Linked DNA regions of Sus scrofa. The protein of the gene in region 1 purifies or fractionates together with the protein of each later gene. This does not show direct contact. Links are inferred from orthologs where the notes say so. Each region holds a gene or a part of one and is shown on either strand. Other genes may lie near its edges. The genes, in order: KIF5B and KLC4.

Region 1 (11,572 bases):
TTGTTGTTGTTGTTGTTGCTATTTCTTGGGCCGCTCCCGCGGCATATGGAGGTTCCCAGGCTAGGGGTTGAATCGGAGCTATAGCCACCGGCCTACGCCAGAGCCACAGCAACGCGGGATCCGAGCCGCGTCTGCGACCTACACCACAGCTCATGGCAACGCCGGATCGTTAACCCACTGAGCAAGGGCAGGGACCGAACCCGCAACCTCATGGTTCCTAGTCGGATTCGTTAACCACTGCGCCACGACGGGAACTCCTTTTTTTTTTTTTTTTTTTGTGAGTAAATATTTTAATTCAAGTCTAAAAGTAAACCTCAATTAGAGAATTGCAGAGATTACTCTCAGTTTTATCAGATGGATACATTTTTCACTTGGTGTAAGCTAAATTAGAGTGGTTTTTGTTTGGTTTGGGGCTTTTTTTTTTTTTTTTTTTTTTTTTTTTTTTTGGCTACCCCATGGCATATGTAGTTCCTGAGCCAAAGATCAGGTCCCTAGCCACAGTTGCGTCCTCTGCCAGATCTGTAATGGGCTGGGGGTTAAACCTACGTCCTGGTGCTGCAGAGATGCCACTGATCCCATTGTACCACAGTGAGAACTCCAAGGGTGTTTTTCTTAAACACTCTTAGTTGGTTTGATTTATGCCTAAAAACTTGTAGTACATTCTTGCACTTCAGTGGAAGCAAAGTCTTGTATTTCACTGATAATCAAGATTCAAATTACTTCAAGAGCCATCATAAAAGTAAACCTAAAACATAACATTTAGTAATTTAGAAGATTTCAGGATCTGCCACAAAAAGTGAATTTTGTCAGATTCGATCTTACATAAAAGAACAATATCGTTTGAGCCTTGCCTTTTGGACATTGGTTTTCATGGTCTACTGACCAAGAGTATAGTCAGTATGCAGTTTTCTAGAATCTGAGGAGGTAGGAACTCAGGTTATAACTTTCACATACCTTGAATTTATGAGAGACAACTTAAAAGTGAATAATTCGTTAGGATGGTCATGCCGTCAGGACAAGTTCAGAGTTTTTGCAGAATCTGAGCTGCAGCTGCAACCTATGCCAGATCTTTTAACCAACTGCAGTGGGTCAGGGATCTACTGAATCTCAGCTATAATTTTGTTTAGAATAATGTTAACATTTAAAATACATAAAATGGGGGCTTTCTGCTGTGACTCAGTGGTAATAAAGCCAGCTGCTATCCGTGGGGATGCTGGTTTGATCCCTGGCCTCACTCAGTGTGTTAAGTATCCATCATTGCCCCGTGAGCTATGGTACAGGTTGCAGACTTGGCTTTGATCCTTTGTGGCTCTGGCTGTGGCATAGGCCGGCAGCTGCAGCTCCTCTTTGACTCGTAGCCTGGGCACTTCTGTATGCCATATGTATAGCCCTAAAAAGAAACAACAAAAAAACACAAAATTTTTTTTAGTCTTCAATAATTTATTATCTCTGCAATTCTCAGTTTAATTGGAGTTATTTTGGATAAACATTAGTGTGCTATATGGTAATGCCTGTTGTAAAATATAAAAAGAACCGCTCAGTATCACTTGAATTCTGCCACATTTTATTTCATCACTTCTACTGCTATAATGGGAGGGTTATTTTCTAATAAGACATATAGATTTAGAAGATGATAAGGCATGTGGAAATTTCTTTGAAAAACATAACATCAGTAAACTTTTTTAAAAATAAGATCTTTCATTTGAATTTAAAAATTGATCCTGGAGTTCCCACTGTGGTACAGTGGGATCAGCAACATCAGGAACGCCCAGCCTGGCACTGTGGTTTAAGGGTTGTCTGTAGTTGCTGCAGCTGCAGCTTAGGTCAAAACTGCACTTTAGATCCCTGGCCCAGGAACTCCATATGCCATGGGACCTCAAAAGGGGGGGGGGATTTATTCTTTCAGATAAAAATATTTGATTCAGATGTTTGTGCTAAATCTAGAGTTTAGAGACTCGAAGTTGAAAACATTTATATGTTCTTCCACTCTTTAGGGTTATGCAAGATAGACGAGAACAAGCAAGACAAGACTTGAAGGGTTTGGAAGAGACAGTGGTAAGAAAAACTTGGAAGTAAATAGGATTTGAGGATATTTAATGGGCTCTTCCCATTGGTTATACTAAATTTGAAGACTGACTTCCAAAAATACTGCTTTCTTAATTCAAGGCAAAGGAACTTCAGACTTTACACAACCTACGGAAGCTCTTTGTTCAAGACCTGGCCACCAGGGTTAAAAAGGTAATAAAGTAATACTGGGGTGGGTAATTATAAAATACACACCTTACTGTGTCTAATTCTTGTATTTGTAGTGAAATCACCTTATATTATTGTAACAGTTTTGGGATAGTTAAACTTAGGTTTTTTATTTGATCTAATACTATTTTTTCATAGCACTTATTGATCTTTTCTAGAGTGCCGAAATCGATTCTGATGACACTGGAGGTAGTGCTGCTCAAAAGCAAAAAATCTCCTTTCTTGAAAATAATCTTGAGCAACTCACTAAAGTGCACAAACAGGTAATAAAGAGTATATTTTGTGTTCAATACAAACCGAGGAGTGGCAGGTATTTGAATCCAAGGATTTTCATACCATGAGCCATTCCATTATTTTATCACACAATTATATAAATACGCCACTAGCAGTTTCTGGGGGAGTTTTGGTTATTTGTTTGTTGTTTTGGTTTGGTTTTTATGGCCACACCCACAGCATATGGAAGTTCTCAGACCAGGGATCGAATCCAAGGTACAGCTGAGACCTACACCACAGTTGTAGCAATGCCAGATCCTTTAACCCACTGCTTTTGCTAGGCCAGACCTGTACAGCCACAAAGATAGCAGTGGATCCTTAAAAGGCTGTACCATAGCAGAAACTCTGGGGAATTTTTGAATAGCTTTTTTTTTTTTTTTTTCCTTAAGTTTTATTAATTAATTGTCTTTTTAGGGCTGCACCTACAACATGTGGAAGTTCCCAGGCTAGGATGTGAATCAGAGTCATAGCTCCTGGCCTACACCACAGCCATGGCAACTCGCCAGATCCAAGCCAGGTCTGCTACCTACGCTATGGCTTGCTTCAATGCCAGATCCTTAACCCACTGAGCAAGGCCAGGAATTGAACCCAAGTCCTCATGGATACTAGTTGGGTTCGCTACCACTGAGTCACAGCGGAACTCCTGAACACAGCGGAACACAGCTTTTTATTAAGAGGCCAATGAAAACAGATGTTTTAATTTTTATGTAGGGTTTCCAATCTGTCAGTTTTCTTAGTATGATAATTTTTAAATCTGTAGTAGACAAGTCTTTGCAGTTAAATGCTTCTCTTTTTTTGTATTTATACATTTAATGCCCCAGAGTGTGAAATATATAAAATAATGATGCAGTTCTTATTCTTTAAAAAGTAATCCTGGAGTTCCTGTCTTAGCTCAGGGGAAACAAATCTGACCAGGAACCATGAGTTTGTGGGTTCAGTCCCTGGCCTTACTCGGGGGTTCAGGATCTGGCGTTGCCATGAGTTGTGGTATAGGTAGCAGATGTGGCTTGGATCTGGTGTTGCTGTGGCTGTGGTGTAGGCCTGCAGCTGCAGCTCCAATTCAGCCCCTACCCCAGAAACTTTCATATGCCACTGGTGTGGCCTTAAAAAAGGAAGAAAAATATAATGCTTACTGTGGGTTTTTTATCTTTTATAAAAGTTTGATATATGATTTAATTAGCTTTTAAGTTTCTTGGCATGCTTAATTGTATCTTTGTTATTATAAATCTTATGTTTGCACCAGAGTAAGGTTAAAGGAGTTTAAGCCTTCCCTGCTTTCAGCACTTAAGGGACTTGCTAAGTTAATGTTTACTTGTGGATCTTACTCTATCTAAAAGGATAATTACTTCCACAATATGAATATCTTAATGAAGAGACCTTAACCCTATGTTATAACATAATTTCAGTACTTAATAATGGGGAAGAATAGTCTCCTAAACCTTCCAAAATTGAATGAAATTATATTTTAGGGAGAAGCATATGTGTGTGTGTGTGGTATTTATGGATACATGTATTCTTTGCTTGTTGCAGTGTTACTTTTTTTCAAGAGAAATTATGGAATGTTCATATTTTTTCAAATCATCTTTAAAGCTACAATCCTTATTTTTTCTATATACCTTTAGTTGGTACGTGATAATGCAGATCTTCGCTGTGAGCTTCCTAAGTTGGAAAAGCGACTCAGAGCTACAGCTGAGAGGGTGAAAGCTTTGGAGTCTGCACTGAAAGAAGCCAAAGAAAATGCATCTCGTGATCGCAAACGCTATCAGCAGGAAGTAGATCGTATAAAGGAAGCAGTCAGATCAAAGAATATGGCCAGAAGAGGACATTCTGCACAAATTGGTTAGTAAAGCACAATAAATAACCTTGCTTTGGTTTGAATGTTTCTCTTTGCTTGAGAATGTACTCTGATTTATTTGTTATGTGCTGCCACAGTGGTATTTGTGTTTTTTAATTTGCCAAAAAGTAACATTGTTGGGAATGAAGAGCAAACTGAGGAAGTCACCTCAAAAGGACAAGAAGAGAGATCAGAACAGCACAGCCAAGTGAGACTGGTCACAGATAGAAGAAACCATGTAGAGCAAAGTTACTCAAGCAAAGAGAGACTTGGAAGAAAATGTCATCCATAGTATTTCATACTTTAATTGTTAATCATTGATAAAGGAATAAGGATTTTCAGAAACTAAGGATTGGATAGGTCCTAGAGGAAAGGATATAACTGAGAAATAGAAAGGCAAAGAGAAAGGGGGGGCAGTTGTTTGCGAAGAAAGAGAAGAGACCTACAGAGTCATTGCAGTCGCATGTTATTTATTCTAAAGTCAGTTTTTGTTTTTCACACCAGCTAAACCTATTCGTCCTGGGCAACATCCCGCAGCTTCTCCGACTCATCCAAGTGCAATTCGTGGAGGAGGTGCATTTGTTCAGAACAGCCAGCCAGTGGCAGTACGAGGCGGGGGAGGCAAGCAGGTGTAATCTTCACAGGGCACCACAGGTTGGTGGTCTCTGGATTTTTTAATCACACCTGTCCATGGAGAGGTTCATTGGCAGTTAAACACCCTTTCGGATTCTCACTTTAGTATCATGGTTTCTTTTTAATGTGTGGGATTATAAGTAACTTTAGTTTTGTCCTGGTTCATGTCATACTATATGTATATTCAAATTTGTGTTCTTACTGTTTTTAGCCTATTGTTAGATCATTTGTTTAAGTTCTTGGTATTGTCTAATGGATATACTATGATTTATAACTACTGCCTTGTTTTATTTTGTTTCATTTTTGGCTGTGCCTACAGCATGCAGAAGTTCCCAGGCCAGGGATTGACCCACACTGCAATGCTGATAGTGCTAGATCCTTAACCCTCTGAGCCATCAGGTAACTCCCTTGTTCCTTTGTGGTTCTTTGTTTTGAACTATTGCCTTTTACTAGACTTTTAATTATGTTAATTTTCCCATACTTGAAATAGTCCAAAATTGAAATTTCCATATATGGGAGTTCCCTTGTGGTGCAGTGGGTTAAGGATTCAGCGTTGTCATTGCTGTGTTGCAGGTTCAGTCCCTGGTTCAGGAACTTTCTCATGCTGCAGGTGTAGCCAGAAAAAAGTTTCATGTTTTCCATATAGTCATTGCAAAGTCACAGTGAAACATCTTTTTATACATCCTCAACTTTGCGATTATCTCCAGATAATTCCCATAAGTGGGATTAGGAGAAAGTGAAACTTTTTTTTTTTTTTTTTTTGGTCTTTTGAGGGCCAAATCGATAGCATATGAAAGTTCCCAGGCTAGGGGTCAAATTGGAGCTGTAGCTGCTGACCTACACCACAGCCACAGCAATGTGGAATCCAAGCCAAGTCTGCAACCAACGCCACAGCTCACAGCAGTGCTGGATCCTTAACCCACTGAGTGAGGCCAGGGATCAAACCTGCATCTCCATGGATATTGATTGGGTTCGTTACCATTGAGCCATGATGGGAACTCCCGAAAGTGAACATTGTTAAGGCTCTTGACACTAACCCTCTTCAGAAGACTGCACCAAATTGCATCTTAGCCAGTGACACTGTCCTTTTTGTTGTATCTTTGCCAGTATTAAGTATTAATAGTTTTTAAGTTCCTATTTTAATAGGCCAACTATCTCATTAATTTATTAACGAATTTGGATATTTTCATGTTTATTGGCCCATTTATATACTTATATTTTTAATGAATTATTTCTGTGTCCTTTCCCATTTACCTCTGTGAGTGGTTTTTATAATTTATGAGTTCTTACTTGTTTCTTTCTAAATGCAAGTAATATTTTTACCATGTAGGGGGATAAAGAATTACCGCAAAGTAAAGTAGGAGATAAATATTATCCAGAGATACCACCCAGTATGTTGTATATATTTTCCTGGGGCTGTCTTCACATATTATAACTTTTAAATTAGAAAGCTTAAACTGTCAGTTAATATTATATTACCAAGATACTATGCTATTCTATAAATATTCTATAAAATACTACTTCGTAGCCTACTTTTTTAACTTGGCCATGTGACTGATTATAGCTGCCTGCTATTTTACTGTATGGTAGGAACTCAGATTTAATCCTTTGGGAAGCCTCAGGTGTGTAGATGGTTTGGAAACTAAAAATATTAGATAACTTTGAGATAGTTAATTGTTTTTATTTTTGACAGATACTAAAGTCATTTTATTTTAATCTTCTTTGTTTTTTACTTTGACATTTTGCATAACATTGGCTGTCAATTTGAGTAGAAAATTAAGCGATATTCTGGATTTAAAAGAGAATGATATAGTGAAAAAAGTATTGATATTGGAGTCCCGTCTGTTTGAATTTACTCTTATGAACTTGAGCAGGTTACTTTTTCAGTTAATTTCTTTCTTATTTTGACCCTTAAGCATAGGGAGTTCCCTGGCCGCCCAGCAGTTAAGGGTCGTCATTATCACTACTATGACTTGGGTTACTGCTGTGGTGTGGGTTTTGTCCTGGCCCAGGAACTTTCACATGCCAGGGCCGTGACCAAAAAAATAAAATAAAATTCTTAAGCATAAAATCAAATTACAGATTAAGTTTTTTAAAGCTGGTAGAGTTCCCATCATGGCTCAGCAGGAACAAATCTGGGACTAGCATCCATGAGAGTGTGGGTTCAATCCCTGACCTCCCTCAGTGTCTTGAAGATCCGGCAATGCTATGAGCTTTGGTGTAGGTTGCAGGTGCCGCTCAGGTCTGACGTTGCTGTAGCTGTGACATAGGCTGGCAGCTACGGCTCTCTTTGGACCCCTAGCCTGGGAACCTCCCTCTGCCATGGGTGTGACCCTAAAAAGACCAAAAAAAAAAAAAAATCATTTTTTGGGTTCTCGTAAACATTGTTATAAGACTGTATTGTAGGTAATAGGTGCTTTATTATTGTCTCTCATCAGAAGATGTTACAGTAACTTTCCTGCCAATTAGGAGAGTGCTTCTGTTTTTTCCCTCTTTGGATTGGTAACTTGTTGAGCTCCCCTTATTACTAAAATCAAAGTCATTCTTGAGAGTTATACAGTTAAGATGTCATTAACTAGTAAAGAGTGGGTGCCAAGTAGATGCAAGCTGCCTTTTCTGGAAGTGGAGGTGGGCAAAGGCATTTTCAAAGCATAAATATAAATACAGGTAAAAGTTTATCTTTTTTGGATCTTGTCCTCGCGTTACAGTTCACATGTGAACTTTAACCTCTTACCTCATTTGAGAGAGAATGGTCCATCACCTTTGTTAAATACAGCTAGGTTTTAGCTGGAAAGTAGAATGTAATGACAGCAGTTTAGCACATGAGGGAGATAGTTAACCTAGCTAGACCAGGTTGTCGAGACTTGAAGTGACTGAAAGAGTATAATCAGGGAGTTTCTGGTGGCCTAGCGGGTTAAGGGCCCAGTGTTGTCACTTCTGTGGCACAGGTTTGACCCCTGGCCTGGAAATTTTCATGTGCTGCCAGCACAGCCAAAAAAAAAAAAAAAAGGTATAGTCAAGTTCAGGTTTGTTTCATTGCTGTCCATAGGATAGTGGTTGTTATTTTTTTTTAAGGTCTTGCATCAGTCTTAAGCCATGATTGAGAAGTATATCATCTACATAAGTGATACATTATTGAAGAAGTAAATACTTTGTAGAGGTATTTTAAATTACTTTTTAATTATTAAGAAAAACATGGGGAGTTCCCGTCGTGGCGCAGTGGTTAACGAATCTGACTAGGAACCATGAGGTTGCGGGTTTGGTCCCTGCCCTTGCTCAGTGGGTTAACAATCCGGCATTGCCGTGAGCTGTGGTGTAGGTTGCAGATGCGGCTCTGGCGTAGGCCAGCAGCTACAGCTCCGATTCGACTCCTAGCCTGGGAACCTCCATATGCCACAGGAGCGGCCCAAGAAATAGCAAAAAGACAAAAAAAAGAAAGAAAAACAGGGGAGTTCCCGTTGTGGCACAGCAGAAAGAAACCCCACTAGGAACCATGAGACTGTGGTTCGATCCCTGGCCTCACTCAGTGGGTTAAGGATCTGGTGTTGCCATGAGCTGTGTGTAGGTTGCAGACTCGGCTTGGATCCCACATTGCTGTGGCTGTGGTGTAGGCTGGTGGCTACAGCTGCAATTCGACTCCTGGCCTGGGAACCTCCATATGCCATGGAAGCGGCCCCTTTAAAAAGACCAAAAAAAAAAAAGAAAAAGAAAAGCGTTTTAAAGCACTGGGTTTATTCAAGGAAAAGATGGCAATGTATTCATGATACCGATACTGCCTGGTTTGGGGAGGCTGGTTCTGCCAGCTTCCATCATGCTTTGGGCAAGTGAAGGTTTTCTAAACACATAGGTAAATAGGCAGTTGAGTGAGCACAAGGTAACAGCTGCTGGGATTGTTATTTCACTGTCACTTTCCCAACCTCTTGCTTATCCCTACCCGACCCCCTTTTGTTTTTTACAGCTACCTTCTTTGTGGTTTTTTTTCTTTCTCTTAGAGTCGCACCCATGGCATATGGGAGACTCCCAGGCTAGGGGTCAAATTTGAGCTGTAGCTGCCAGCCAAAATCACAGCAACGATAGATCTAGCCACAGCTCGCAGCAGCACAATATCCTTAAGCCACTGATCGAGGCCAGGGATCAAACCCACATTCTCATGGATATTAGTTGGGTTTGTAACTTACTGAGCCACAACGGGAACTCCTACAGCTACCTTGTATATGGCATTGCTGGTTTGGTGTTCCTTAGCTTAACGTTGCTCACACTGTCTACTGGCTGCCATTTTATTGACCATCTTTTTCTTTTTTAAAAAAAAAAAAAACATGTAATTCGGAGTTCCTGTTGTGGCTCAGTGGTAACAAACTTGACTAGTATCCATGAGGATGTGGGTTCGATCCCTGACCTTGCTCATTGTGTTAAGGGCATGTTGTTGCTGTGAGCTGTGGTGTAGGCCTACAGCTGCAGATGCGATTCGGTCCTTAGCCTAGGAACTTCCATATGCCCCAGGTGCAGCCCTAAAAAAGAAAAAAAAACATATAATTCAAACATCTGCTCATTCCTAGTTCTTGGGGAGATAAATACAAGACTGGCCTCCTTTTTATGTTACTCTGTCCCTGAACAGCTCTACTTAAAAGGCAAATGAAAAGAAAATCATTTAATTTTGCCATCTTTTCAGTTTGGGGGAAAATATTCAAAGCTGTTGGCTAAATGTTTTTAAACTATTTGGTATGTTTTATTTCATTTTTTTCATAGTTATCTCAGAGACAAGTTTTGTATAAGTAAAAATATTTTCTCTCTATGCTTTCTTCCATCTTCAGGTGTTGAAAGTAATTGAAGTATGAAGAGAACATAATATCAAGCAGTCATTCAATGACCATAGCCTCTGTCCCTTGGAAACTATAGAATTAGAATTTCTTTTTAGTGTATAAATTGTACCTGGCCTGTACATTTGTTTCCTACCCACTCTTGTAAACTCTGCTGCTTCCCAACACAACTAGAGTGCAATTTTGGCGTCTTAGGAGGGAAAAACGACAGTTTACAACTGTGGCCCTATTTATTACACAGTCTGTCTTTCATGTCTTAAATTTAGTCTTCACTGTGCCAAGCTAACTGTACCATATAGGACTCTGCTTTTTGTACTTGTTCTATTGTGTTTTTATTTTTAAATCTCACTTTAGGTTACCTAGCTGCTACTGCTTCTTATTTCTCTTTTCTTATTAAAATAATATCCTCCTTATTTTAGGGAAAATGGAACACTTAGATTAAATGTCTTAAATTTTACCACTTACAACACTACATGCCCACAAATTATATCAGATCAGTACTGTACTTTAAAATCCCTTGAAATGACTTCGGAGTTAAAATTATCTGTATCATCTCTGAAGTTCGCTTCTGAAAACTACTCCTTGAGCACTGAAACCTTAAAACTGCCTAACTAGACATTTGAAACTAAGCAAGGCAACTTAATTATCTCATGAAATGCCTGTTGCTGAATTATCTTGAATAGAACTACATTACAATATCAAAAGCAAATATTTTGCTTTTGTTTAAGAAAGAGTCTGGAAAAGAAATTTCTCTTCCCAGTGCTGCAGTAGTGCACATAGCTTGATGGAATGAAAACACCCTGCTTCATTCTGGTGAGCCTGCTAATTAATATAAGAATTGGACAGATATGAATTTGTCATCTTAATATAGTGAAATGAACTAAGATATTATAGGAGTAAACAATTTTATATTATTAGTACTGTATTGGTTTATGTAAATTTATAGCCTATGGAAACTGAGGAAAAAATGTGGAAGGACAGGATAAATACCAGATGAATTTATAAATATGTAGGTAAATTTGGTCCGAAATCCCTGAGGTTTTTTTAACTTGCTACATTAAGTCGTACAGTATAACTTATTTCTTCTTTAGTCTAGAAATAATCATTTGCAAGTCACTAATAATCCTCAAATGAATTATTTTGTTGGCAGCAGCTGATAATTTTGTAATTAAGTGTACCTGTTTTTGCCACTTCTTCCTCAGATGATTAAAAGTCAACAGTTTATTTTAGAAGCTACAAAAGTAATAAAGGAAGAGATTTCAATATTTGCTTCATCAGTGGGAGGGGACTAACTGCAACTATGTTATCAGAAATTTGCGGAGCATGGGGATTTAAGGTTACTCAGCAGAGAAAGTTGGAAAGTTTTGCGTTAGGATCTGGGTGGCAAAATTAACTTTTTGAAAAAGTTTTATATACAGATATTTGTATTAAATTTGGAGCCATAGTCAGAAGACTCAGATCATAATTGGCTTATTTTTCTATTTCCTTAACTATTGTAATTTCCACTTTTATAATAATTTTGATTTAAAAGATAAATTTATTTATTTTTTTAACAGTCAAAAATTCTTGATGTTAATGGTCTGCAACCTTTAAAATGATTGTATTGTTTTTAGGATTGATCAAAAGAAGCACTCCAAAAATTGAGACGAAACCTCGTTGTGCAGCAAGATTGAAGTAGTGCAGTTAACAAAAAAAAAAAAGTGCTACTGCCTATTTGTGACAATAGTTTTCTAAATGGATAAATATTTGGCTGTATTCACAT
Region 2 (10,250 bases), on another chromosome or scaffold:
ACCCGTCTCACTGTTCTTTCCAGGCTTCCTGTTTCCTCGTGGGGGGTCCCAATCCCTAAAGATACCCCAAATGTAGGGAGATGGCTTGGGGACAGAGTGGGATGTAACCCCTTGTCACTTTTGTCCTCTCACAGGGACCAGAATAAGTATAAGGAAGCTGCCCATCTGCTGAATGATGCCCTCAGCATTCGAGAGAGCACCCTGGGTCGGGACCACCCTGCTGTCAGTATTCCTTCCTCTCCTTCCCCTGTGTTCTCTTTTTTTTTTTGTCTTTTTACGGCTGCAACCATGGCGTATGGTGGTTCCCAGGCTAGGGGTCCAATCAGAGCTGTAGCCACCTGCCTATACCAGAGCCACAGCAATGCCAGATCCGAGCTGCATCTGTGAACTTCACCACAGCTCATGGCAACACCAGATCCTTAACCCACCGAGGAAGGTCAGGGATCGAACCCAAAACCCCATGGTTCCTAGTCAGATGCATTTCCACTGTACCCGGACGGGAACTCCGTGTCTTTTTTTTTAGGGCTGCACTACAGGATATGGAAGTTCCCAGGCTAGGGGGTCGAACTGGAGCTATAGCTGCCAGCCTACATCACAGTAACAGCAACAGTGGATCCGAGCTGAATCTGCTACCTACACCACAGCTTATGGCAACGCCAGATCCTTAACCCACTGAGAGAGGCCAGGGATCATGGTTCCTAGTTGGATTTGTTTCCACTGCACCACGACAGGAACTCCCCCTATGTTTTCTTAGTTTGTCCATCCATTGCCCTCAGCCCTGGGTTTTCTGAGGAAGGAGGCATGAAGACCCCTTTCTCCCAACACTGTCTGCTGATGCTAGTGGTTTTCAACTCTCTGAGACCCAGTGATTGCTTCTAATGATGTATATTTTCCTAATGCTTAACTCATAGAGAATGTAACTTACTTACACCTACACTTTCCCAAAAAAGTTGAATGATACTTTATTATTAGAAAAGAGAAATAAGAAAAGTAACTTATGGAGTTCCCATCGTGACTCAGTGGGATAAGGATCCAGCATTGTCACTGATGTGGCTTGGGTTGCTGCTGTGGCACGGATTCACTCCCTGGCCCATGAACTTCTGTGTGCCATGGGTGCGACTGAAAACAAACAAACAAACAACAACTCCTGTCTTGATGTCCTATCAAATGTCAAAGCTTATATTCAGTGCTTAGATGTCTGGCAGGACATTCCAAAGTTGCTCGAGGGGGCCCACACAGGCAGAACATTCGTAGCATCCTCGTCTCCCCGAAGGTAACAGGGTCCTTAGTCTTCCTGGCAAACAAGAAACAAAAACCCTGCCTCCAGAAGTACCTAAGTATCTTCCCAGAAGGCGATACCACCCTCATGGAGAACCTCAGAGCCTAGGGGTTCAGCCCTTGCCCCTCCCCGGCCTCTGGCGGAGTCCACTTGTCTTGGAGTTGTGCAGCGTGGGGCCCTGCCGTTCAAGGTCTTTTGCAGCACCAGCATCTGATGGGGACGGGCTTGTCTTGCTAGGTGGCCGCCACACTCAACAATCTGGCTGTGCTCTATGGTAAGAGAGGCAAATACAAGGAGGCAGAGCCACTGTGCCAGCGGGCCCTGGAGATTCGAGAAAAGGTACCCGTGCCCTCTGCCCATTCTTCCCTGTTGCGGAGAGCCCTCTTGTATCATCTCTCTTCCAGTCTACCCTCTTGCCTCACTTCCTTTGGCCTCATCCCTGTGTCTGCCTTGTTCTCTGTTTCATCATTCCCTTCCCCCTGCTCCCTGCCTGGGCATGCGCACACACGCCCGCACCCGCACACACACCCACACGCACAGTCATAGTCATCTGTCCCTCCTTTGCACCCCTTCAGGTCCTGGGCACTGACCACCCAGATGTGGCAAAGCAACTGAACAACCTGGCCCTGTTGTGCCAAAACCAGGGCAAGTATGAGGCCGTGGAACGCTATTACCGGCGGGCACTGGCCATCTATGAGGGGCAGCTGGGGCCTGACAACCCTAACGTAGCCCGGACCAAGAACAACCTGGTAAGGGAGGGAGGGGCAGAGGCCATGGGCAGAGGGGAGGGGAAAGCGTCTAAGTCCCTGTGCTCACCTCCTCGTCTTTGTGCCCAGCTCTGGGGCTGCCTTTGGGGCTGAGAGGTCTGCTTCCTTCCTGTGGGAAGGCAGAAATTCCATAGCCTCTTGGAATTGGCGTGGGAACACTGTGGACCCTGCAGCTAGAAAAGGAGATATGAGGAGCATCTCTGGGGAAAGTCATCAAGAAGGGGCAGTCGCAGGAGTTCCTGTTGTGGCTCAGCAGCTTAAAAATCCTGCTGATATCCTTGAGGAATGGTTTGATCCCTGGCCTCACTCAGTGGGTTAAGGATCCTGTGTTGCTGTGAACTGTGGTGTAGGTCGAAGACGTAGCTCAGGCTCGGATGTGGCATTGCCATGGCTCTGGTGTAGACCAGCAGCTGTAGCTCTGATTGGACCCCTGCCTGGGAACCTCCATATGCCGTGGGTGCAGCCCTAAAAGAAAAAGAAAAAAAAAAAAAGAAGAAGACGGGGAAATCCCAGACTTTATCTCCACCTCTTGCTCCTGTGTTTTTGCCTTCCTGCCCCCAGGCTTCCTGTTACCTGAAACAGGGCAAATATGCTGAGGCTGAGACGCTCTATAAAGAGATCCTGACCCGTGCCCACTTGCAGGAGTTTGGCTCTGTGGATGGTGCGTGGTGAGGACCTGGGCAGGGAGCTGCAGGGAGGAAAGGAAATGCAGACCAGGGCTTGGGAGGTGGGCCACAGTGGTTCCCAGGGGGAGCTGGGCCCCTTTAGTCCAGGCCTGTTGGCCTCTGGGTCCTGGCTCCCCCCATACTATCCAGTTCTGTCCTCTAACCTTGCCACTCCATCCCGTGTGTCACCCCCAGACAACCACAAGCCCATCTGGATGCATGCAGAGGAGCGGGAGGCAATGAGCAAAGTGAGTTGGGGGGGCCCAACCTGGGGAGCCAGAGGCTACCAGGCCTCTGTCTTGCTCCTGCACCAGCCTGCCAGCTCCTCACTTCCCACCCGAGGGCCAGCCCCAGACCCACGGTGCCTTCCCCAGCCCAGCCTGCACCAAGCCCAGCACCAGCTTGCACCCCAGCATCTCCATCCTCTCATCTCTGGCTTCCCCTCCCCCTCTGTCCTCCTGCAGAGCCCACACCGGGAGGGCGGCACACCCTACGCTGAGTATGGAGGCTGGTACAAGGCCTGCAAAGTGAGCAGGTAAGCTGCCGGTGAGAAGCAGGCTTGGCCTCTGATGCTGCCACCCATGCTGGCATCTCAGCCTCCTGGACCATCCCCTTCTTCTGTTTGACCTTCCCTGGGCCTCAGCTCCGCTCCCTCTCTCTCCTGCTTGTGTTCTGAACCCATCCTCTCTCCCTTCCCTGGTCTCATCTGCCACAGCCCCACCGTGAACACGACTCTGAGGAACCTCGGAGCTCTGTACAGGTGCCAAGGAAAGCTGGAAGCAGCTGAGACCCTGGAGGAGTGTGCCCTGCGCTCCTGGAAGCAGGTCAGAGACCTGGAGGGAAAGGAGGTCTGGAAGGGAGGGCCTGGGGACAGGACAGGATGGGGGACCACTGAGGCTGCTTGTCAGTCTCCAAGGAGTAAGGGGGGGCAGCTGAGGAGGAAGGTTGGAGAGGAAGCTGAGACCCGCTTGTGGTCGTGGTTGTTTTGAAGCGTACTCTTACTTCCCACCTGCCCTTTGTGGTCAGGACTCGAAGTTCAAGGTTCACTTCACTAACTGGAACTATCAGCAGAGAAACCCTGTCCTTTCACAGCGTGAAGCATCTTCTGGGGAGCAGCGTGGGGTGGTATGGGTGGGAGGGCTGCGACTGTGGGGAGCCCCGAAGCAGAGTTTCTTCAGTTGTGGGTCTTGACTCACTAGTGGGTCTAAAATCAGTCCCGCGAGAGCCATGGCTAAGCCTAGGTGTGTATCTAGATGTGGAATGCACTGCAAATAGAAAAGGTGAGTGTCTCCTTCCCAGTATGTGTGTACTGGGAGGTCACAGGAAAAACCTTATCTTTGACCCTAGTGGTGAGAAAAAGTTTGAAAACCCCATCCTGAGGAGCTCAGAAATGAGACGTCCCAGCTTCTTCCTTTTCTTTCCAGGGCACTGACCCGATCAGCCAGACCAAGGTGGCTGAGCTGCTTGGGGAGGGTGACAGTGGAAGGACCTCCCAGGAGGGCTTTGGGGGCAGCGTGAAATTCGAGGGAGGTGAAGATGCCTCAGTGGCTGTGGAGTGGTCAGGGGTAAGTTGGATGGGGACCCCTTGATCTCTTCTGCCCCTCCTGCTGGTGGTGGTGACAGGCACTGAGCCTGTAGGATGTGTGCATGAGGGCCTGTTGTCCCCATCCCAGCTCCGGTGGCCCATCCCTCTCCGGGGTCTCTCTGCAAGCCAGCTGTTGACCGGGCTCTTGTTTTCAGTCGCTGGGCTTTTGGGGGCAGGGGGAGGTGGCAGCGTAAATGGCAGGAGTACACTCAGAAGCCAGGCTGCCTGGGGTCCCCTTAGCTTCTGTCCCCTACCCCTCTCTGCCAGGATGGCAGCGGGGCCCTGCAGAGGAGCGGCTCTCTGGGCAAGATCCGAGATGTTCTCCGTAGAAGCAGTGAGCTCCTGGTGAGGAAGCTCCAGGGGACCGAGCCCCGGCCCTCCAGGTAGGCAGTGAGCCTGAGATACGGCAGAGCAGGCGGCTGAGCCCTGGCCTCCAACTCTAACTCCTCCTGGCCTCTCATCTCTGGAGAAGAAGCGTCTTGGAGAGAAACATGGAGGAGGTCAATGGGACAGTTGTGGAGAGAGTGTGGGGAGAATGGGTGCCTCAGTTGGGGGAAAACAATACCTGAGCAGATGCTGATTACTGATGAAGTTGGGTTTTGTGTGAGTGTGTGTGTGTGTGTGTGTGTGTGTGTGTGTGTGTGTGTGTGTGTTGGGAGGATGGATGGTGGGAAGGCAGTGATCTGACTTCCTGTGGTGGTGCCCAAGAAGCCACGGCTTAAGGGTTACCCATGGGAAAGAGAAGAAGCTTCAGTTCTTTCTTTTCCATTGTAGCAGCAACATGAAGCGGGCAGCCTCCTTGAACTATCTGAACCAACCCAATGCAACGCCCCTCCAGGTGAGAGCAGTGCTTGTGGGCACAGTGGTAGGTGAGAAAGAAAGGACAAGCCAGGGAGTCCCCATCAGCAGAAATGAATCTGACTAGCATCCACGAGGACGCAGGCTTGATCCCTGGCCTCCCTCCGTGGGCTAAGGATCCGGTGTTGCCGTGAGCTGTGGTGTAGCTCTCAGATGCAGCTCGGATCTGGCCTTGCTGTGGCTGTGGTGTAGGCCATCAGCTACAGCTCTAATTCAACCCCTAGCCTGGAAATTTCCATAGGCCAAGGGTGCAGCCCCCCACAAAAAAGGACAAGCCAGGAAAAGGGGAGAGTTACTGGGATGAAGACTCTGCCAGGGACTTGGAGTTGGGCAGACAGCTTGTTGGGGGTGGTGATCACCAAGGGACAGTTTGGGGCCAGAGATAGTAGCACATAAATTAATCAGGAGGAAAGCAGGAATTGATGTTCTCTAAATGGGTACTTTGGAATTATGAATTATTCAAGAATGATTTGGGGATACTAATTGCTCTCTCCTTACAGCCACCACATTCCTCACCTTGGGGAGTCTGTAGGAGCTGAGAAGAGAAAAAGAAAAAAAAAGTATTAACTCATCTCCTTTTGAGAAAACAGCAATGACATTTTAATGGGAAAGGACCACTTGTAGCAACACATTCAAAGCATATGCCAGGAGTTCCTGTTCCCGCTGTGGTGCAACAGAAACGAACCCTGGTATCCATGAGGATGTGGGTTTGATCCCTGGCCTCGCTCAGTGGGTTAAGGATCCGGTATTGCCGTGAGCTGTGGTATAGTTCGCTGATGGGGCTCGGATCCTGCGTTGCTGTGGCTGTGGCTGTGGTGTAGGCCAGCAGCTGCAGCTCTGATTGGACCCCTAGCCTAGGAACCTATATATGCCGAAGGTACAGCCCTAAAAAGGGCAAAAAAAAAAAAAAAAAAAAAAAAATTTGAAGTATATGCTGATATTCACATGGTTCTTCCAGGTATTTTCTCCACCAGATGGTGGCCTTCTGGGAAGTCCTAACAAGGGGTCAACAAAGCCCCAGAGCTTGGGGTTGAGGTTAGAGGTTCCATCCTAGGTCCAGAGAGAAGCTGCAGCCATGAGATGGAGAGACTCCAGGGGCCAGTCTTTGGCAGGCTGAGATCCCTGAGCTGATGGCATGGGGTTGTCTGTTTCAGGTCTCCCGAGGCCTCAGTGCCAGCAGTACGAATCTCTCTTCAAGCAGCTGACATTCAAGCTCCCCTGCCTTCCCTGGGACCGGTGGGTCCCCAGCAGCCCTCACAGCATTCCCTGTGGCTCCTGGCTCTTCCAACCCTACAGTGGGACAGTGAAGGGGGAGCAGTTAACCAGAAGATGCCCTCAGGGTCTCAGCTCCCTCCTCAGGAATCCCCCTCAGGAACCAACCTCAGGACACCCTCTCCCCACCCTGTGGTCCTCTAGAGTGGCTCCATCTACTACTAGGGCCCCCAAAGTGGGTAAAGAGCAGGTGTGCACCTCAGAGATGCAGCCTGTGGCTGGCTTTTCTGACAGAAGGTTTGGGACTGGCCAGCTGACCTGTCTTGCCCTGGCCTCTCTTTTTCCCTCCAATGCTTCACTTCAGGTCCGTGTATTTCACTTTTCTTAAATAAAGGAATCAGGTAACCAACCATTCAGCCACTGGAGTCCTCACTGAAGAGGGTAGGAAGCAAGGGTTGTGTTGGGGCCCTTCACAGAAGGGTGAGGGCAGTGATGGATGGGGCAGCAGGAGGAATGTTCGCCTCTTGGCTCCCTCCTCTCTTCCTTCCCCGTTTGTATCCTCTCCAGCAGGGCCTGCGGGAAGGCGTCTGGGGGGTGGGGGGAGGCCCACATCCCAAGGAGAAGGTGCTGTGGACCCGGTTGTCAGGGACATGTGGTGGCCATGTGGCAGGACCCTGGAGTCCTGGCGCCACTGCTCCTGGCCTGTGAGGCCCTCTGTGGCTGCCCCTCCTCCTCCCAGCTGCTTGGGGGAAGGGAGGTCTAAGCAGGCCTGGGGGGCCCTCCGGAGCCAGAGGGGGACGAGGCACTTACTATCCATCCTCTCTCAGCAGAGCCTGGAGGCCCAGCAGCAGCTGGGGCCCATCTTCTAAAGCTTGACTCCTCCTGACCCGCCTCCTACACCCCTTGCTGCTTTCACAACAAAGGAAGAATGTGGGGGTGGTGGCGCTGGGGGTGGGGGTGCCTGGAACAAGGGCTGTTCTGGGCCTCCCCACAGCTGGAGACTTGGCCATGCCCTGACACAGCCCAGCCTGCCTGGAGATGGACTTGGGATGAATTTGTCAGTTTAAAAGCCTTCAGTCAGCCATTCAAAGAACACCTAGTCTCTCTCTACCTTTGGGTTCAGATTGGTCCAGAGCCAAACCAGACCCCTCATTTCTCCAGGCTACACTTCTCCTGGGGCCCCACCAGTATCTCCAAGTTACCTTGCTGGGGGAACCCTTCTGTTCTAGGTCTCCCTCCTGATTTGTGAGCCCAAGCCCACCCTTCCCCTCCTAGCCGGAGAATTTGGGGGAACTGTTGGTCAGGGAAGCCCAGAATCGACGATCTTCCCTAGGAGGGACGGAATCACAAAAGTCACTTTAGGTCCCTTGAGTCCCTGCAGACTAGGTGTTAGGCACTGCCTCCACCCCCCTACCTGGCTCAGGTCCTCCACACCCCCGGGCCTCCTTCCCCGGGTTCCCCATCCCTCTCCAGACCCCTCCCCCAACTGCGAGCTCCTCCCCGCCGCGGCGGGGAGGGGGCGTCGCGGGGCGGGGCTTGGCGGCAGCTGCGGCGGCGGCGGCGGCGGCGGCGCGCGAGGACTCGGAGGTACCGGGCGCGCGCGGCTCCGGCTCGGGACGCCTCGGGTTCGGGCTCCGGCTGCGGCAGCTGCAGCGGCGCCCGAGCTCCTGTGCGCTCGGCCTCCTGGGCCCGCCGGGGAGCGCCGACCGCTAGCCCGCCGTGCGCCCGCCCTCTCCCTCCCCCGGGCCCGCCGCGATGGGAGCCGCGCGCGGAGCCCTGAGCAGCCCCCGCCGGCTGCCTCTGCTCAGCGTTCTGCTGCTGCCGCTGCTGGGCGGTGAGTCCCGGCGAGCTGAGGGAGCGCGGGAGCCCCGCGCGCCAGAGGGGGCAACCGGGAGGTGGGCTTGGGCGGCTGGAGCGGGGGAGACAGCAGGGCGTGGGGCAGGGGCTTGCTGGTGGGGCGAGATCCCGGCGGCCGGGAGGCGGCGAAGCCCTCGCACGCTCGGCCGGGGCCCCTCTTGCCTCGCGCCCACGAGGACGCGTTTCCAGCCTCCCCGGAGTTTTCCCGGCCTGAGCCGAGAGTTTTGCTCGGTAACTGCGGGGAGTTGCCGGTTCCCCGGCCCCGGTAGGAGTTTCCTTGCGGGAGAGAGCGACTACCCCCCTCTTAGGGGGTGCAGCGCGGTAGCTGGCGGTGGGGGAGACGGAATCCCCGCGGCAGGCTCAGCCTAGGTGAGGGAGGCCGGCCTGGGGCCGGATGCCGGACCGACCTTCGGCGCGCGGGGCGCGGAGCTTTGTTACCTACGCCCGCCCGATGCTCCCTGCTTCCCTCCTCCAAGTTCTTGGGCCAGGCTGGGACCCCGACGGTTCTGCTGGTGAGGGCGGGAGAAGGGAAGAGTTAGGGGCCACCCTATCTCCTCCAGCTCCTGGGGCCCGAGCCCTGAACCCACTCCCTGCCAGGGTCGGATCTGGGGAGCTGAGAGTCCCAGGCTGTCGCGGTGACTAATGTGTGAAGGCCGCTGCCAAAATCGGGCATGGCCGGCCTGCAAAGGTGCGGACGGGATCGGCGCTGCGCCTTCCTGGATTTCCATCCTCGGTCCCCAGCAAGGAAAGAAAATCTTCTGCGGGCAGAAAGGCCAAAAGAGTTCAATCTGCCTTCTTGGAGAGCCTCCGCGTTTTGAGGAGGGTGTGGCCCCTATCTCCGGGGCAGACTGACCCCCCCCCCTTTATTTCCTGGCTTGGTCTCACCTGAGAGTCACCGCTGAGGTGTTGAAGTGCTTTAGAAAGAAGCACCAAGCTACCCGCCGCACCCCCAACAGCCTGGATGGGAAGTATGGCCCCCCTTGCAAAACCCCAAATCTTTGGTGAGGATCTTGTCTGGGGACACTCCACCCAGGAGACCTGGGTCCTTGCTTATCATTTTCCTTCTCTGAAGAGTGGACAAGGCAGGAGTTCAGGGGGTGAGAATTTCCCTTTCTGACATCTCCTTGGCCTGCCAGCTGTTGGGGGGGGGGTGCCGCTTGCTCCTGCTGAAATCAACATCTCCCCCACCCGGAGTTGCAGTTGCAAAAGAAAAGGTAGTTCTAACCCAGGACAGAGAGGTTAAGAACAGGTTCCCTGGATTCCCAGGAGGAGGTATTTCTAGAGCCGCCCTCTGTTCCTTCTGATGTGCAGAGTAGTTAATGCTCATGGCAGAACTCACATCTGCTCCCAGAGGAAGTGTACAAGTTTTTTTTCGCCGCCAGGAATAGGGGGGTGGGGGGTGGGGACAGCCATATGGGCTGGCAGCTCCCAGGCTTCCTAGGTTGGCAAGCTGTTTAGGGGCTGGTGTGTGGGTCGCCCGATGTGGCTGCCTTCACTGCTGATGTTTAGAGTTCTGGAGTCCAGGGGAGATTCTGGTGGAGACGGAGCTTGGGGGGGGGTGTCTTGTTCAACAAATGCTAAATTTCTAAATTCCTTCTGTGAGAGGATGACTCTGATGTTAAATGGATGTTAATCTGGTGACGGGTGTCGGGGTGGGGGGGCCCTGGTGGGGTGGTTAGGGCAGGCTGAGGGCTCGGGACTGGAGGTCTGGAGTCTCCTGCTCAGGGGGTGGGGAGATGTGCTCAACAAAGGAACATTTTAATGAGAGCCTTAAATCAGTTCCACCAAATGGGCCTTGGTGTGGAACCTGCCCCTGTGCTGTAAACAATTTCAGCCCAGGCCCAGGCGCCTGCTGTCTGTCCTCCAGTGAAATCCGGAGGCTCAACCCAGCACTGGATGGCGTGACTTATGGGGGGCAATGCTTTTTAAGTAGATTCCAGTAGATTTTTCCGTCTCCTTGTTTAACTGCGTAATTAGCTGGAGTTGTAGCGAGACGCTGCTGTTAATAAGGCTGGAGTAAGGGACCC

Evidence for each region.
Region 2: the proteins of KIF5B (region 1) and KLC4 purify together in Homo sapiens (affinity purification with mass spectrometry; 4 studies listed by BioGRID and IntAct, with this or other methods). This does not show direct contact. The link is inferred for Sus scrofa from reciprocal best matches to the Homo sapiens genes KIF5B and KLC4.

Annotation. Positions count from the first base shown.
Region 1 is NC_010452.4:42,637,805-42,649,376, reverse strand, and holds part of KIF5B (kinesin-1 heavy chain), read left to right. Parts: intron 1-1,994; coding exon 1,995-2,055; intron 2,056-2,166; coding exon 2,167-2,238; intron 2,239-2,411; coding exon 2,412-2,516; intron 2,517-4,148; coding exon 4,149-4,365; intron 4,366-4,864; coding exon 4,865-4,995; 3' UTR 4,996-5,014; intron 5,015-9,804; 3' UTR 9,805-11,572. UniProt on the Homo sapiens protein: Microtubule-dependent motor required for normal distribution of mitochondria and lysosomes. Can induce formation of neurite-like membrane protrusions in non-neuronal cells in a ZFYVE27-dependent manner.
Region 2 is NC_010449.5:38,127,756-38,138,005, forward strand, and holds the end of KLC4 (kinesin light chain 4), read left to right. Parts: intron 1-134; coding exon 135-222; intron 223-1,516; coding exon 1,517-1,618; intron 1,619-1,854; coding exon 1,855-2,028; intron 2,029-2,607; coding exon 2,608-2,707; intron 2,708-2,906; coding exon 2,907-2,959; exon of another isoform or gene 2,960-3,175; coding exon 3,176-3,246; intron 3,247-3,426; coding exon 3,427-3,535; exon of another isoform or gene 3,536-4,135; coding exon 4,136-4,276; intron 4,277-4,563; coding exon 4,564-4,679; intron 4,680-5,070; coding exon 5,071-5,134; intron 5,135-6,308; coding exon 6,309-6,359; 3' UTR 6,360-6,775; downstream 6,776-10,250. Other genes in the region: PTK7 (inactive tyrosine-protein kinase 7), read left to right, coding at 8,122-8,200.